3 linked regions of the Ovis aries genome follow. The protein of the gene in region 2 interacts with the protein of the main gene of each other region in a biochemical or structural test. Links are inferred from orthologs where the notes say so. Each region holds a gene or a part of one and is shown on either strand. Other genes may lie near its edges. The genes, in order: ASF1B, CHAF1B and ASF1A.

Region 1 (5,620 bases), on a different chromosome or scaffold from region 2:
AATAAATAAATATTAAAAAAAAATAAGTTAAAGAGTTTATAAAATCATCTATGGAAGATGGAAGATGACTAAAACAAGGACTCTTAAGCAGAGGCATCCTGAAATGACTTCACTTTTTTGAATGAGCTGTGAGGACGTCAATCACAAACAGCACAAATTCATTCCTGCTGAATATGAATTAAGGTCGCACATGTGTAACGTATGCCTAGCCTTCTAAGTAATTCCAAGGGTAAATGGATTCCATTGTTTTGACTTTATGCCTTAACTTTATCATCTAACCACTGCACAAAATGCTCCTCCACTATGTATGAAAACAAAATCCAGACCAACGGTATGATGAAAAACATAAAAAAAATTACGGTAGTTGAACTAGCAGGAGAATCTGTTTCCTGTCCCCCCCAAAACACAAACAGGACTACCCTGGTGGCACGGTAGATAAGACTCCACCTGTAATGCAGGAGACACAGGCTCCATCCCTGGTCCAGGATGATCCCAACAGGTCTCAGGGTAACCAACTCCATGCGCCGCAACCACTGAGCCCGTGTGCCACAGCTACTGAAGTCTGCTCATCCTAGGGCCCAGGCTCCACAACAAGAGAAGCCTCCTGCAATGAGACACCCAAGCACCATGACGAAGAGTAGCTCCTGCTCCCAACTAGAGAAAGCCCAAGTGCAGCAATGAAGACCCATCGTAGCCACACACACACAAGTCCCAAACAATCAAAAAAACAACAAAACAACCCCAACCCCAACAACTTATCTAGTATGCCTTTTTCTGTTTATCACTTTCCCTTTGTTCATAATACAGTTGAACCTTGGCCTGACCACAGCGTGTTCGGTGTAGGTCAGAAAATCTGGCTCTAAGACTTGTTCAGGCAGTATCTCATGAATCTCTCAACTAAACTGGGGGAAAACACACCCAATGTATTGAATACAGACCCAGGCCTTGGACGCATCTATTTCCACATGCTGCTGAGCGGGGAGAGGGAGAGAGAGTTAAAACATTTCAGAGCCCTTGAGAAATGGCTCAGAGTTGGGGCTGGGTGTTCAGATCTTCAGTTACCAGGTAATAAGGCTGACTGAGAATTTCTCCAGAATCTAAGAGACTTCTAAAGCCAGGCCTACTCCATTTGTTTGGGAGGCAGGAGACAAATCCTTTCTGCTCTGTGGGAAGAGGCAGAAAGCATGTTGACAGGTCAGAGTGAAGCACAGCCCTACAGGTACAACCAGAGAGTGTAGACTTCCAGGCCAGAGTTGGCTTTCCAACTGGAATTCTTCTGAGCAAAAGCTTTATTGTTCAGGTATAATTAATAATAAGACCCTGTTGCCCTCTTCTGTCCTGTTTATGTCTCACTTCTAAAATAGTGGGTGCATTCTTTTCCAGTTTATAGCAAAGATAAAGAACCCTGGACTCAGAACTCAGAAACAAGACCTAGTTGTGAATAATTCTACACACCAGCTGTGTGACCTTGGAAAAATCATTTTGTTTCCATTAGAAAAATAATGACCTTGGGGAAAGAAAGAACTGTCTTTAGGGATTTCCCTGGTGGTCCAGTGGTTAAGAATCCACCTGCCAAAGCAGGGGACATGGGTTTGATCCCTGGTCCGGGAAGACCTTACATGCTGTGGAGCAACTACTCCCGAGCGCTCCAATTACTGAAGCCTGCTCACCTAGAGCCTGTGCCCCTCAACAAGAGAAGCCACCGCAGCAAGAAGTCCAATGCACCACAACGAAGAGTAGTCACTGCTCACCCCAACTAGAGAAAGCCTGAGCAAAGCACCGAAGATCTAGCTCAGCCAAAAATAAATAAATCTTAAACAAAATATAACACAAATAAAAAACAATGACCAGCAGGTTGACTTTAGACTCTCCTGATTCTATAAACAGATTAATAAAGTAACAGGGCAGTAGCTTTGCAGGAATGAAAGTACTAGATAATGACCATGCAACCATTTTTAAATGCCAGGAGCTCAAACAGGCTGATTGAAACCCGATCTCCTGCCATCTGGGAACTATGAATCCCTTGAACTATTAGCTCCTTACATCTCCTGGCTTTAAAATTAAATCTTATTCCACAGGGTCATTCTACACTTTATTTATTTATTTACACCCCGCCTTGTTCCAGAAAGGATTTAACTGGGCATATTCTATAGTTAGTCATAAGTAGAATGACTCCTTGATTTAAAAACGAGAGAAAGCAGGGAGTGATCCAATGGCCCCACCCAAGCACACATCAAAACTCTTCAACCCCATGTTAGTTGGAGAAGCCCATTTGTAGGCAAACCACCCACCAACCACTGAGAACGACTAGTTTAGCACACCCTTGCCTTCCAGATCTCTACCTCCTTAGAGGCTGCCTCTTCTCTTCTAACCACCAAGTAGAGAAGACATCTAATGGAAGTACTTCCTCCTGAAAGTGGTGCCAAGACTCGCTGAACAACCTTAGCCTTTCTGGTTTTTATAGGCCTTTACTTGAAAGGTCTTTTACTCTGTCTCCCGCCTTCTCATCTGTGAGATGAGAGCCATGTCCGCCTTTTGTCACAGGGATGAATAAGCACATCTGTGAAAGCACCTTGGAAAAGGTGCACAAAAGGCTGTGACCTCCCAGATTGAAGCCAAACATCACCATGGCTCGGCCTGGCACACCCACCCCACACCGCGCAAGTCGAGGTCAGGCCATCAAAAGTGTTGCAAGCTTTGCTGCAGTGGGTCAGCAGGAATCCAGCAGGCCAACAGCAGGAACCAGCTAACGTGTGCCTGGCCATGCCACTCCTCAGATCTGAGTGTGTTCATTGAAGCCCACAGTCAGGGAAGAGGAAGGAAGAGGAGCTGGGGAGACCAGATCATCCTCAAACACTGGAGCAGGAAGCCAGGTCATGCCTCTCTTGAGGAAGTAGAGGGTTGGGGCCAGACTAAGGAGGGAAGCCAGTTTCTAGGGTATGTGTTTTGAGGTAGGAAACAAGCTGAAGGGGGGTAGGGTGGGGTTAAGTATCAGCAGGTAGGGGATATTATGGGGAGACAAATGGGGAGATAAGGATGTGTGAGGTCTTGCCAGAGGGCGAGGATCTTCACAGGGAAAATGAGGGAGGAGGCTGCGGTTTTCATATGGGACACGGGAGGGGGCTAGAGCTTACATCTCCACAGGAAAAGAGTGAGGTGGAAGTGTCTCACCACAGGGGAGAGGGGATTGGTGGGGGAGGATTGGGTGGCTGGAATGGTAGTCTGTCCATACAGAAACAGAAGATGGGGGGTTTCTTGCTACAAGGAAGATGGGAAGGCTGAGGGTCTCTGCAGGTTAAAGAACTGAGGCTGAGGTCTCTACACAGAAAACAGATGCTCAGGAGGAACGCCCAGGAGAAAGAGGAGGATGAAGTGGTCTCCATGAGGGGAAAAGAGGAGTAACCATGGGGGTGGGGTGCGGTGGGTAGTCTCCAAGGGGCGGGGTTGGGGCTGGTGGGCGGGCTTTGGTTCAAGGGAGATCGCGGTTGGGGGAGGGGGAGGGGGAGAGGAAGTGTGTTTGGCAGGGTTGGCCTCGGGGTTGTCTGCAAAGGGAGGTCGGGGTTAGCTCAGGGGAGTGGGGTCTCCACAAGGGCCCAATCTCACCGTCTGCCAGGGCCTCATTGCACTCAAAGCTGATCTCGAACCGGAAAGGGCTGTGGAAAGGGCTCGGATTCTCCAGCACCGCCACGTTCAATACTGACACTTTAGCCATCGCCTCGTCGGGTCACGGCTGAGGCCAGAGCTGGGGCCGAGCCCGCGCCTGGGTCCTGTCGGGTCAGCGGCGAAGCTCTGCCCAAACCCGCTCCCGCCTCCTCTGACCGCGATCTGAAGTGCGTATCTAGTCCGCGCGCCTCCTTCAAATAGCCGGCTCTCACCCTACGGCCAATCACCGTCAACGCTCCACGACTGCGCGAGTGCTTCCTCAGCCAATCCTGGAGCGCCGGTCGGCGCGCGCCGAGACTCCCGAGACCAATCCGTGGAGCTCCATCTCAGGGATGAGCGAGGGAGGCGGGACCGTCTCTAGGCTTCTTTGGTGTCCGCGGGGAACCAATCCCCAGAGTCTCCGACTCGGACGTCCAGGGAGGGGTGGGCGGGGTCAGAGCGCCTGGCTCTTCTTGGCCAATCCCTAGGGTCCCCGCACCAGCGTGGTCCGCGATTAGCCCCGCCTTTCCGGGAGACTCTTCCAGCTGGGGGCAGCGCAGTCAACCGCCGAGTGGTGGCGCACAGCGCTCGCTTAAGCGGGAAGGAAGGGACGTGCTGGACTTGCAGTGATTGGCAGGCAGAAATGGGGCGGAGATAAAGCAGGTTTCCTGAGAGGTGATTGGCTGAGTTGGCTGCGGGGGCGGGAGAAGAGAAGACGCGGCCGGGGATTCGTGGAAGTGGAGCGGAAGTCGGCCGCTGACGCGGTTGAGCAGAGTGTGAAGAGAAAGGAGCAGCGTTTGCGGCATCGGCATCTGTCAGCAGGTGAGCGTTGCCGGAAGTTTCTCTAAGGGGCTCCTGGCCCCGCAGACCCGGCAGGCTGGGCGTCCGTTGTGAACGTTGTGAACGTTTAACTCACCCTTGAGCGCAGACGGTGCCGCGCTAACGCGGCGCTCTGGGGCCCGGGACCCGGTAGTCGGGCCTGGTTCGAATCAGGTTCTTACTTGAGAGCCCCTGGGGAGGTTTCAGGTGGACGGCGCTGAATGGGATTTCGAATCCGGCCTCTGCCACGCACCACCCGAGGCCTCATTTCCCTGCTCATTGAACGGGGTGATGAAATTTTACTGGCCTGACTTATGACTACATAATACATCTAGAAACTTCTTTCCACTCCCAGGCGTAGGCGGGACCACCGTCGCCCCCTGTCTGGAAGACTCGAGGGGCCGCCGCATTCCTTTAGTCCGCTTCCACGGGCGTCAACAAACCTAATCTTAAACTTTTCTATAGTAGCCACGTTACATATATATATATAAATATATTAAACTTAATGTAGTATAGCCAGAATATCATTTCAACATGTGATCGGTATTAAAAAAAAACAAACACGAACCTGAGGTATCTTTATTTTGTTACCTAGTACTAACGGTTTGAAAACCTGTGTATTTTACACGTTACACCACAGCTGTGATCCGGACGCTAGGTTTTCACCGGAAATAGTTGAGGTTTCATAAAATTTACAGTTGAAATGGAGATTCACATGCCCAAGTGTTTCCCAACATACGTTAAAATTTCCCATGAACTCAATCTCATGTCGGTGATAAATTGAAATATTAATTAATGAAAGTTAAGCGACGTGGAATGTTCTGTTTCACAGTGGCACTAGCCACACTGAGGTGCTTGTCATCCCCTGTGGCTTCCGATATTGGATAGCCAAAACCAACTTCAGCCAAACTGACCTTTTTGTTTCATAAAATCTGACATGACACCCCCCACCTCTTTTCTGGTGCCTCCTTGTTATTCAAGTCTCTGCTCAAATTTCTTCGGAGAATCCAAGAGCCCCCTGGACAACATTCAAATTCGTGGAACATAAGCCTGAACGGTACATTTCAAGCCACTAGGATTTCTTATCCATCCACCTCTGTGGCCTCGTGATGCTCAGAATATTCTCTCTCTTTTTTTTTTTTTTTTTTTGTATCTCCAT
Region 2 (5,670 bases):
CTGGATTCTCACAGGGCCGTGAGTCCTACGGTGAGCCCTGCGGTGAACGGTGCTTGAGAGGGACCCAGGTGGCAGGCTCCTTGTGAGAATTTAATGCCTGATGATCTGAGGTGGAGCTCAGGCCATGAGGTGAGCTCTGGGGAGTGGCTCAGGGAGGAGGACCTCAGGAGACCATGATGAATCAACTGCCTGCATACTCTATCACTGAGCAGCAAGTGACAACTGTATAATTATTTCATTATATATTATAATATAATAATAATAACAACAGAAATAAGGTGCACAAAAAATGTAATGCACTTGAATCAGCCAGAAATCAACCCTCACCCCCAGTCTGTGGAAAAACTGTCTTCCACGAAACCTGTTCCTGGTGCCAAAAATATTGGGGGGCCGCTGTTTTAAACTATGCCTGCATTACTGTCTTGCACAAGTAAAAGTTTTAAGTGAGATATGAAAGTCTAAATGCCTATCAGCTGAATGCATTCAGGTCCTAAAGCTAACCCCTCTGCAGGTCCCTCCCAAGGTTACCTCAGGGTTTTTACGACAGTCCAATTCTCCTTGTTCAGCTGAGCCTCATCCTCATCCTGAAAAGCAACCTGTTCCGGCTCCTTGTTATCATTCACCTTCCAGAGCAGAATGACAGCATCTGCAGAGTGAGTCGATTAAACGCAAATCACGCTTTCCTGTGTGGCTTCTTCACTTCTGGATTTTTAGGACATTAAACAATATCTACAGACACTATGGCCATGAGGATTTACCTCTAAGAATTCGGGCAGGAACAGCAAGTTTCCCTTCTGAACAAAAGCTTTCTAATTTACTGTGTTCTTATATTGTGTTTTTCTGTATCAGATATTTTAAGCTCTATAATGGAAATCTGGGGGGTTTTTTTGGGGGGGTGCATACTGGGTGGCTTATGGGATCTTATTTCCTGACCAGCAATGGAACCAGGGCCCCCAGCAGTGGAAGCACAGGGTCCTAACCACTGGACCACCAGGGAATTCCCTCTATAATAGGAATTTTCAAATGTATACAAAAGTACAGAAACCGTTCACTGCAGCACTGTTTACAATAGCGAGGACATGGAAGCAACCTAAATGTCCATCAACAGAATGGATAAAGAAGATGTGGTACATAAATGCAACGGAATATTACTTAGCTATAAAAAAGAATGAAATACTCCCCATAACATATCCCCATAACTCCCCTAAACTATCTAAATGACAGATTCAGAGGGTCAAGCGACCTCTGAAATGAGAAAGTATATCTAGCTCAAATCTCAGTATTGGCTATGAGACATGTGTGTATCTGGTTTCTACAGATTCAAAGTATAATACTCACCGTCCCCTCCTGATGCTAAAATTTCCCCATTTGGAGAAAAACGTACGACATTGACCGCTTTGGTATGACGAGCAAGATTGGACAAAAATTCAACGATGGCCTTTCCATCTGGTCCTTTTTCTACCTTCCAGATCTGTTGATACAAAAACACTCATTCAGAGAAACATGTAGTGAGCAGGCTTCATACTGCACCTACTAAAACAACCCTGCACTGATTTTCAGAAAGAAAACTTAGTTTCTCTTTTGAAACGTAAGAGGAAGTAATTCCTATCTGAAATATAAACCTCCAGTGCCACTGCCTCCCACCTCTTTCTTGTGCAAACTCTTCCCCTAGAGGAAACTGGCTCAGGGTTCTGAAATAATAACATCACCACATCCAGTGACATCCGTCTATGTAACAGGACCCTAGGAAGAAAGTTGCTCGCTATTGCCTCATTGTTGACTCAAGATCCTGAAAATTTATCCATCTGGGCTAAATACACATATACATACACTTTGTCACTCAGTTGTGTCCGACTCTTTGAGACCCCCAGGCTCCTCTGTCCATGGGATTCTCCAGGCCAGAATACTGGAGTGGATTTGCCATTTCCTCTTCCAGGGGATCTTCCCCACTCAGGGATCCAACTGGCACCTCCTGCCTCTGGCAAGCAGATTCTTTACCGCTAGTGCACCTGGGAAGCCCCTGGGCTAGGTAACTTAGTACAATAATTTGTGATGATTGCCTGCAGTGTGCGTGCTCAGTCCTGTCCGACTCTTTGCAACCCCAGGCTCCTGTGTCCATGGGATTTCCCAGGGGAAAAAAATACTGCAGTGGGCTGCCATTTCCTCCTCCAGGGGGATCTTCCCGACTCAGGGATTGAACCTGCGTCTCAGGCATTGGCAGATTCTTTACCACTGAGCCAGCCAGCTGGGTAGCCCCGCGTTTAACAGTCATTATAAAAACACAAGAGTGCCCTGCTCGGGAAAACCATCTAAGGCTTGGAATCTGCGATATCTGCTCGCGTTTACCGATCCTGCACTTCATTACTGACTCAAGTCGGAGATTCTGTCAGCAACCAAGGACATCTGTTTTAGTCAATGGTGGGTTTTACTTCCAATTCTGGGGCTTTTGTCTGTGTAATCTGACGTGTTCAATATGTTGCTCCATTAAAAGCTCTGCCTATTATAGTTTTATTTCCATTATCATAAAATTGGTTTAAATGTTAATGAAACAGTATACCTAAAAAAAAAACAAAAAACAAAAACACAAGAGTGGAGGGAGAATGCCACTTCAACGTTGCTTCCAGGGCCCTTCCCACTCCCCATGCCCCGCTTACCCTGACAGCCGTGTCCACCCCCGCGGAGGCCAGCCGGTGGATCCTCCCGGCGGCTCCATACTGGAAGTCCAGGCTGTACACCGGCTCCTTGTTGTGCCAGGCGATCTCGCAAGTGATGACTTTCATCCTCCGGAGTCTTCAAGGAGCGAAACACAGTTCCTCAGGGGGTGGTGCGTGGGGGTGGGGGTTGGGGTGCCCCCGTTGGTTCTCCAAAGACGGAGGAGAGAGAGCTGCAAATGGTTGGTGATGAGATCAATCTTCGAGCCAGGGACCAGGCACTGAACGCTCAAGCCTGAGCCCAGGAGCCCTGCCGACCCTGGGAGAGGATGTCAGTGCGGCCCTCTGACGCAGCCCTCGCAGCTCCACCTTAAGTGGTTCGCGGAGTCCGCGGCTGTTTTCAGTTTATTCTCCGGGTATGTCCAGAAAAGCAACGAGGGACGGACACCCAGGGAGGGGAAAGCAAGGCCCGGGCCGGGCCAGGCCAAGCTGAGAGGGGGCGAGACCGGGTATCTGGGGGTGGGCGCCCCGGGGAGACGGCTACCGGGGGTGAGGGAGGGCAGGGGCCGCGGCGGAAGGGCTGCTCGGCAAGCCGACCGAGGCCGGGGAGGAAGGGGGCAGCCGGGAAAGCCGGAACCGGACCTGAGACCTGGCTGAGAGGAGGCCGCCGGGGGCGCTTCTCCTAAGCTCCCCCGGGTCCTCGCGGCTGGCCCTCGACGAGGGCCGCTCGCCACCTCACCCGGCTCCTCACCCTTCACCCAGGCCCGGCCGGGAAAGCGCGGGGACGCGAGTGGCCGCGCGGGAAAAGCAGTACCTGCAGGGATGCGTTCAGGCCGCTGGGCCGCCAGCTCCCGCCGCCGCGCGCGCGCCGCTTCCCGCGCGCCGCAGGCCCCGCCTCCTGATGGGCGGGGCCTCGGGACTCCCCGCCTCCGAGTGGGCGGGGATCTAGAGACTTCCCCCCCTCCTCGTAGGCGGGGATCCACAGAGGCCCCGCCCCTCCGCGGAGGCGTGACCAGCGCCCTTGGACTCGGCTGGCTCCCGCCGGTTTATTATTTCCCTGCGGAACGACGCATCGGTGGAACGATGAGGGAGTCCAGTCACTTCTTCCCTTGTTAATTTAGCAAACATTTACTGAGCATCTGCTATATGCTGGACCCTATGCTGGACCTGGATACACAGTGGAGAGCGAAGCTGACGCAGACTTCAGTTCAGTTCAGTAGCTCAGTCGTGTCCGACTTTTTGCGACCCTATGGACGGCCGCACCGCCAGGCCACCCTGTCCATCACCAACTCCCGGAGCTTACTCAAATTTATGTCCATTGAGTCGGTGATGCTATCCAACCATCTCATCCTCTGTCGTCCCCTCTCCTCCCGCCTTCAATCTTTCCCAGCATCAGGGTCTTTTTCAATGAGTCAGTTCTTCGCATCAGGTAGCCAAAGTATTGGAGTTTCAGCTTCAGCATCAGTCCTTCCAATGAATATTCAGGACTGATTTCCTTTAGGATGGACTGGTTGGATCTCCTTGCAGTCCAAGGGACTCTCAAGAGTCTTCTCCAACACCACAGTTCAAAAGCAGACTTACTCTCAGGAGAATTTGCAGTCTGCTAAAAGAAAACGGAGGGCCCTTCTGTAGGACAGGTGGGGACACTGTAACTCTGAGACTCACCCAAGACTACCACGACTTTCACTAGTGCAGTGACTATCTGACAGCTGTAACCTGTTTTGGTCACTAGTGATAGATAGTGAAGTCGCTCAGTCGTGTCTGACTCTTTTCGACCCCATAGACTGTAACCTACCAGGCTTCTCCATCCATGGGATTCTCCAGGCAAGAATACTGGAGTGGGTTACCATTTCCTTCTCCAGGGGATCTTCCCGACCCAGGGATCGAACCCGGGTCTCCCGCATTGGAGGCAGACACTTTAACCTCTGAGCCACCAGCGAAGCCCTTTTGGTCACTAGTGTTTCAAAATAAATAAACCACAGAAACGGTCTTCAGGCCTCCTGTCATTTTTCCAAATAATAATTTAAAAAGTGAAAAGGAGTATGTCAAGGTTGTATATTGCCACCCTGCTTATTTAACTTATATGCAGAGTACATCATGTGAAATGCTGGGCTGGAGGAATCACAAGCTGAAATCAAGATTGCTGGGAGAAATATCAGCAACCTCAGATGTGCAGATGATACCACTCAAATGGCAGAAAGAGAAGAGGAACTAACGAGTCTCTTGATGAACATGAAAGAGGAGAGTGGAAAAGCTGGCTTAAAATTCAACGTTCAAAAAACAAAGATTATGGCATCTGGTCCCATCACTTCATGGCAAAATAGATGGGGAAAAAGTGGAATCGATGACAGATTTTATTTTCTTGGTCTCCAAGATCACTGTGGACAGTGACTACAGGCATGATTAAAAGACGCTTGCTCCTTGGAAGAAAATCTGTGACCAACCTAGACAGCATATTTAAAGGAAGAGACATCACTTTGCCAGCAAATGTCCATATAGTCAAAGATATGGTTTTTCCAGTAGTTGTGTATGGATGTGAGAGTTGGACCATAAAGAAGGCTGAGCACCGAAGAATTGATGTTTTTGAATTGTGGTTGGAGAAGACTCTTGAGAGTCCCTTGGACTGCAAGATCAAATCAGTCCATCCTAAAGGAAATGGGTCCTGAATAGTCATTGGAAAGACTGATGCTGAAATTGAAGTTTCAATACTTTGACCACCTGATGCACAGAGCCAACTTATTGGAAAAGACCCTGATGCTGGAAAAGATTGATGGCAAAAGAAGAGGGTGACAGAGGATGAAATGGTTGGACAGCATCAACAACTCAATGGACATGAGTCTGAGCAAACTCTGGGAGATAGTGAAGGACAGGGAAGCCTGGCAGGCAGCAGTCCATGGGGTTGCAAAGAGTCAGACATGACTTAGCAACGGAACAAAAGCAGCAGCAAAACACAGTGAAAAGAAACATGAAAGGAACAATGTGCTTTTACAGTCCTGAATGTGAACTTACTTTAGACTTG
Region 3 (5,592 bases), on a different chromosome or scaffold from region 2:
AAAGAAGCAGAGAAATCAGCAGTCCACAGAAGGTATAACAAAGTCAGCAGTAAAGTCAATGAAAATGTGTACAGGCTTGGTGACCATCAGACCAAACACACCCAAGGTCTCCTATCTCCTGGACTTAACAGGAGAGCCTCTCCTTACATCTGTGGATTGCTGTCCTACCCCTGTATAGGTCTTACAGTAGATTTCAACTAAATTCTCTTAAGTACTCAGACTTTTTCTGAAACAAAGCTACAGGGCAGCTTTTAAAGGAAAGTCAAAATATGTGAGGGCTATTGACAATTTAAAGTATGAAAAATGATGGCCAAGCTCTGGAACTTGAAACAAAATTATACAGTGAAAATTTCTCATTGGACTATTCTATATTTCACTTCCAAGAACAAATATTTTAAAGAACTGTAGCAATGGCACCCCACTCCAGTACTCCTGCCTGGAAAATCCCATGGATGGAAGAGCCTGGTTGGCTGCAGTCCACGGGGTCACTAAGAGTTAGACATGACTGAGTGACTTCACTTTCACTTTTCACTTTCATGCACTGGAGAAGGAAATGGCAACCCACTCCAGTGTTCTTGCCTGGAGAATCCCAGGGACGGGGGAGCCTGGTGGGCTGCCGTCTATGGGGTCACACAGAGTTGGACACGACTGAAGTGACTTAGTAGCAGCAGCATAAAAGATGGGACTATAAGAAGTCTTTACTAAGTAAACTCTATTTCCTTAATCCACACAGCCTCTAGGTGGAGTACATAAGCATGGCACCTTTTTGAAAGATTCCTTTGCAGCTTCAGTATGACTCAGCTTAAACTCCTAAAAAGTACTAAATAAATGCCCAGTATAAGTACCTGGGAAGTGAGGTAGACAAGTCAAAGTAAGGTGTATTCCTGACATCAGTACTGTAAAAATTGATAGGATTCAGCTTGGTTCTGAAAAGATCCCATTACAAACAGAACACATCAATGGCAGGTTTCAGCCATCCATTGTCAAAGCCCTGTAACAACATCCTGAATCATCTAACTTCCTTGTTGAGAACTCGCTCCTAAAATGGAAGATATCACTTGAGAAATACCAGTAATTTCAAGAAGTTCTAATGCCTAAAACACTGTAGTATAAATTGGAAGGGACTCATTTATTGTATTTCTCTTGCATTTGTCCATTTTTATATGCAGTTGATAGTAAAACCAAAAAAATGTCTAGTGGGCATGAAAATGGGCCTAGTGGCTGAAATGCTTATGGCAGTACTTTAGTAACCAAATAGTTTCAAAGTTCGGTAATAAGGAAAACCCCCTTTAATTTTTATTAGCAACAGCCCATTTAAGAATTAGTTTAATAAATGAATTGTCTTTCAAAATGTGCCTACTTTCGTATGTGCATATGTGCTTTATATTTGTAGTAAAACTACAGTGTATGGAACAGCACATACTAAAGTGGTAATTATGGTTACTTTTGAGTGACATGTTGGCGGAAGGTATTGAGTACAGAGGAGTGTTACTTTATATATGTATGAACAACTTTTAAAAAGTTTATTACAATGAGCATATGTTGGTTTTTGTAATTGAAATAGTTTACACACTACCTAAAATACATTATACAGGGATTAAAGGATAATTTTTAAAGTGAAAATGCTTTACATGCCTTGATTAGCATATAATTTAAGATGAATTTTGCTAAACATAATTGTAAGTTCAAAAAAAGCCTGTCCCCTATTTAGCTGTAAAATTACCATCGATGAAGTTAAACTTTTTTTTCCCCTTGAAATTTTGAAAATGGAGCACTGGATGGTTTTAATAAAATCGGAAAGACCTTGGCAAATTTTAGCTTTCTGAATTTCTTACCGCACATGCTATATGTCTTTCTGAGGACCTTAAAACGTACTTAGAAAAAAAAAATTAAATTTTGCATTGCCATCAGGACTTTATTTCCTAGCCCACTTTTGTGTTTTATGTTCAGGGTATTTGGATGTGGACTTGCTGTAATTAGATTTCAACACGTTCTTGAAGGAAGTCTTTCAGACTACTTAGAAGCCAGTGATCAAGTCCTGGAAATTATTTAAATATTTTACTTATTTCTGCTCTCAGGTTAAATGTAACTTGCTAGCTTAGCAATATGTTTCTTCCTGAGAGAGAGAAGATTAGATTTCAGTCACCAAGGATGAGGAGCCCACGTTGCTCGGGGCGAGCCTGCGCGCCAGCATCCCCGGGCGCCCCGAGCATCCTGGGTGCCGGCTGGGGAGCGCCGGCCCGGGAGCACCCGCGGCCCCCGGAGAGCGCCGGCCCGTGGCGCCGAGGGGCCGAGCCTGCGCCCGCCTCCCCCACTGGTTGGTCCACGGAACCAGAAATCAGCGCGAGGACAGCCTCGCTCCCCTCCCCGAAGCGGCCGGGCATGGCCACCCCGGAGAGTCCGGTAACTCCAGCGTGAGCGCTAAAAATGGACGTGCCTCTTGCTCGGGGGCAGGAAGGTGGGCAGGCGGGGCGCCGCGCTCGTCACCCGCGGAGAGGAGGCGTCGTGACGCCGGGGTCGGTGGCCCAATTCTCTACTCTCGGTAAGATGGCTCCGCTGCGAACTCGCCGGCGCCGACCACACACATGCCTCTGCCTTCCCACCTCCTCGCCGGGGCCGCGGAGGCCGTTGGGTGCCCGGGGCCAGCCCGGCGCGACCCCCGGCCGGCGCCGCGGGCGCGAGTGCGGGTCTCGCGAAGCGCCCGCCCGCCAGACAAAGCTGACAACATGGCTACCTCCGCTCGAACAAGTTCCTCGCAAGTTGAGCCGCGGCAGGCGCCCCGGCGGCGGCCGAACGCCGCGCGCGCCTGGCCGGCCGTCGTCCATCAACTTCAAGTTTCCCTCCGCAAAGCCGAGCCCGCAGCCCGCTCGGCGCCGAGCCCCGGCCGCCCGCGTGAGGCCGGGCCCGGGAAACTTTCAACGTCTGCAGCCCGCAACTGACAGCCCGGCGGCGGGCGGGCGCCCGACTCACCTTCAGACAGGTCCTCGATGCACTCGAAGGTGATCTCGAACTGGAATGGGTTGTAGAAGGGAGAAGGGTTATCCAGCACCACTACATTGTTCACCTGAACCTTTGCCATATTTTGAAAAAAACACAAACAATGGGGACGGGGGGCTCGTTGCGGCACAATAAAGTCCAGCGCGCGGCCGCTCGGGAGAGCGCAGACCCCCGCCCCGGCGCCGGCCCGACGTCGTGCAGCGGCGACTTGAGAAACTTTTTTTTCCTCTTTTTATTTACACGGGAACACTCCACAGTGTTTTGCAGCTTTCCTATTTCACTAAACTACAGCCCATTCTGCTCTGATAACTAGCAGCGTTGCCCGCGATTGGCTGCACCCGAGCTCTGACCCTCCTCCTCCAGCGAGGGCCTCCGCGGCGAGCAAGATGGGCTCCCGCTCCCGGAATGGACTCGGAAACTTTAACTGCGGCTCCACCTGCTGGTGTGGATTAGGACAAAGGCGGAGAACAAAGTGAGTGGAATACGGGCTGGGAGGCCCGCGCGGAGGCCGCCGGCGGCAGCGGCGGCGGCGGCGGCGGGGGGAGGGGCGGCGCAGGCCCCGCCCCCGGCCCGGCGGCTCCCGCGCCTCACGTCGGGCGTGGCCGCAGCGGGGCGGGGTCGAGGGAGGCGTGGCCACGGCGAGGCGGCAGGAGGCGTGGCCACGGCGGGAAGGCGTGCTCGCCGTGGGCACGGCGACGGGAGGGCGCGATCCTGGCGACACCCGCCTCTGGGGTTTGTGTAACGGGTTTGTTCTGTGTCTCCCCCACTCCCCCTTCTGACTCTTCACATTAGTCCGACGGCTGTGTCGGCTCTCTACTGAATTTAGGAGATGCGAATCCGTTGTCTACACTAGGTTAGGTTCAGTTGTCTGTGTACTGGGTAATATTTGGGTTAGAGGGAAGGTTGGTTGCAGGGGAAGTAAATTGCATTTTATAGACTGATGTCAGCTCAAAAGGAGCAAAGCCATTTTGGAAATCTAGTTCTTGGCCAATCTCTACGTTTGGGCACGACAGCGCCGTTAGTTAAGTAGATACAAAATGAAGGGCGAGGAAACGCTTTTCCACCCACACTTTGTGGAATAGGTAGTATTTGGGCTGCACCAGGGTCGTCTTTCTCCCGTTCCAGTCTGGAAAGTCTAGAATAAAAAGATGACTTGAGGTTGGATCACTTATACCCGGTTTCTCCTGTTCGGAGGACACAGCAGGAACATAAAAAGGAGAAAATGCAAGTATCAGAAGACCGTAAAGACAACAGATACAAGCAGAAAAGGCAAAAGGCGAGTAGAGACCACGAAAGCATACCAAGACGTGCAATTTTCCAAAAAGTCATGACCTAAACCGTTAGTAAGTAAAAATGTATGGCACCACGAGCAAGTTCAGAGGAATCTTTACTTGATTATTCGACATTCAGCGTCAGTTTGTTCTTGACTACCTTTGTAGGAAAGGGAGAGCTTGTAATACATTTTGTGTAAGGTTGTTGAGCTGTTTCTATTTTCTAAATAAGAGCAATATAAAGGGATTTTTTTCCCTGCTGCATAAACCATCATTTTTCAGGTATTTTGAATGAAACCACTTGGTTAATTAAATTCAGAGAAAGTTATTTAAGTGTCATCTATGCTGAAAGTTTTCTCTTAGTATGGTGCTGAGAATTTTTCAGTTAACATTCTTTGGACACTGTTCATTGCAGGTTGCTTTTAATGAGACTTCTGCATCTGATGGTCTTTTGAAAGTTAATAAGAGACAGCTAGGGAGGCCTGGCATGCTGCAGTCCATGAAGTCACAAAGAGTCACACAACTTAGCCATAGAACAACAGCAATGGGACAGTTAATCCCAGGCCTCCCACATTTAGGGAAACTACTCAGGGTGAGGATCCCATTGTATCATGGATGGATTAGCAAATACCACGATCTACTGGAAGGGGTTTCCTCAAGCCCAGGTATTTGTACAAATTAGAGTTTAACAGTCATACTGTGGGGACAGGTGCAAATTACGTTGGCTGATAAACTGTATTCTCTGTTCATTGTTATTAGTGCTGGGCCTAAGGCTGCCTCAGATGAAGTGTAAGTTGTAAGACACACAGAACATAGGCGATAGCCATTTGAAGCATAAAACAAGGTTCTCTTGAGACTGGGATATATGCAGTTTCCTCATTATTGCAGGCATCGTTATGAGGAGATTGAAATCCATTTGCTTTATAAAAATGACTTTAAAAGCTTGGTAAAAATCAAGTGCGCTTTTAATCTGCTCGTGTTCTAAGTCGCTTTAGTCATGTCTGACTCTTTGCGACCCTGTGGATTGTAGCCTGCCAGGCTCCTCTGTCCACTGCTCATAGGTGATGTCATTGTGAAGTGTGTAAGATTTGTTCTCAGCATCAAGACTGAGATTTACCTGGATAGTACTACTGGGTTGGCCGAGAAGTTTGTTGGAGTTTTTCCGTAAGGTGTTACGGAAAAATCCAAAAACTTTTTGGCCAACCCAATATTTCTGGCTTATTTTCTTTAAACTCTTCATTTATCATGTCATATATAAGAGTATTTAAGGGGCGGGGGAAGCCCGCCCTAATAGCTCATTGGAAGCCTCAAGAATTGGCTCCAG

The links.
Region 1: the proteins of CHAF1B (region 2) and ASF1B form a complex in vitro, tested with the Homo sapiens proteins (2 studies listed by BioGRID and IntAct). The link is inferred for Ovis aries from reciprocal best matches to the Homo sapiens genes CHAF1B and ASF1B.
Region 3: the proteins of CHAF1B (region 2) and ASF1A form a complex in vitro, tested with the Homo sapiens proteins (2 studies listed by BioGRID and IntAct). The link is inferred for Ovis aries from reciprocal best matches to the Homo sapiens genes CHAF1B and ASF1A.

The regions. Positions count from the first base shown.
Region 1 is NC_056058.1:9,899,537-9,905,156, reverse strand, and holds the start of ASF1B (histone chaperone ASF1B), read right to left. Parts: upstream 3,833-5,620; 5' UTR 3,713-3,832; coding exon 3,604-3,712; intron 1-3,603. UniProt on the Homo sapiens protein: Histone chaperone that facilitates histone deposition and histone exchange and removal during nucleosome assembly and disassembly. Cooperates with chromatin assembly factor 1 (CAF-1) to promote replication-dependent chromatin assembly.
Region 2 is NC_056054.1:269,270,561-269,276,230, reverse strand, and holds the start of CHAF1B (chromatin assembly factor 1 subunit B), read right to left. Parts: upstream 3,552-5,670; 5' UTR 3,466-3,551; intron 2,885-3,465; exon of another isoform or gene 2,791-2,884; 5' UTR 2,781-2,790; coding exon 2,655-2,780; intron 1,472-2,654; coding exon 1,339-1,471; intron 647-1,338; coding exon 529-646; intron 1-528. UniProt on the Homo sapiens protein: Acts as a component of the histone chaperone complex chromatin assembly factor 1 (CAF-1), which assembles histone octamers onto DNA during replication and repair.
Region 3 is NC_056061.1:19,404,231-19,409,822, forward strand, and holds the start of ASF1A (histone chaperone ASF1A), read right to left. Parts: upstream 3,310-5,592; 5' UTR 3,080-3,309; coding exon 2,971-3,079; intron 1,813-2,970; exon of another isoform or gene 1-1,812. UniProt on the Homo sapiens protein: Histone chaperone that facilitates histone deposition and histone exchange and removal during nucleosome assembly and disassembly.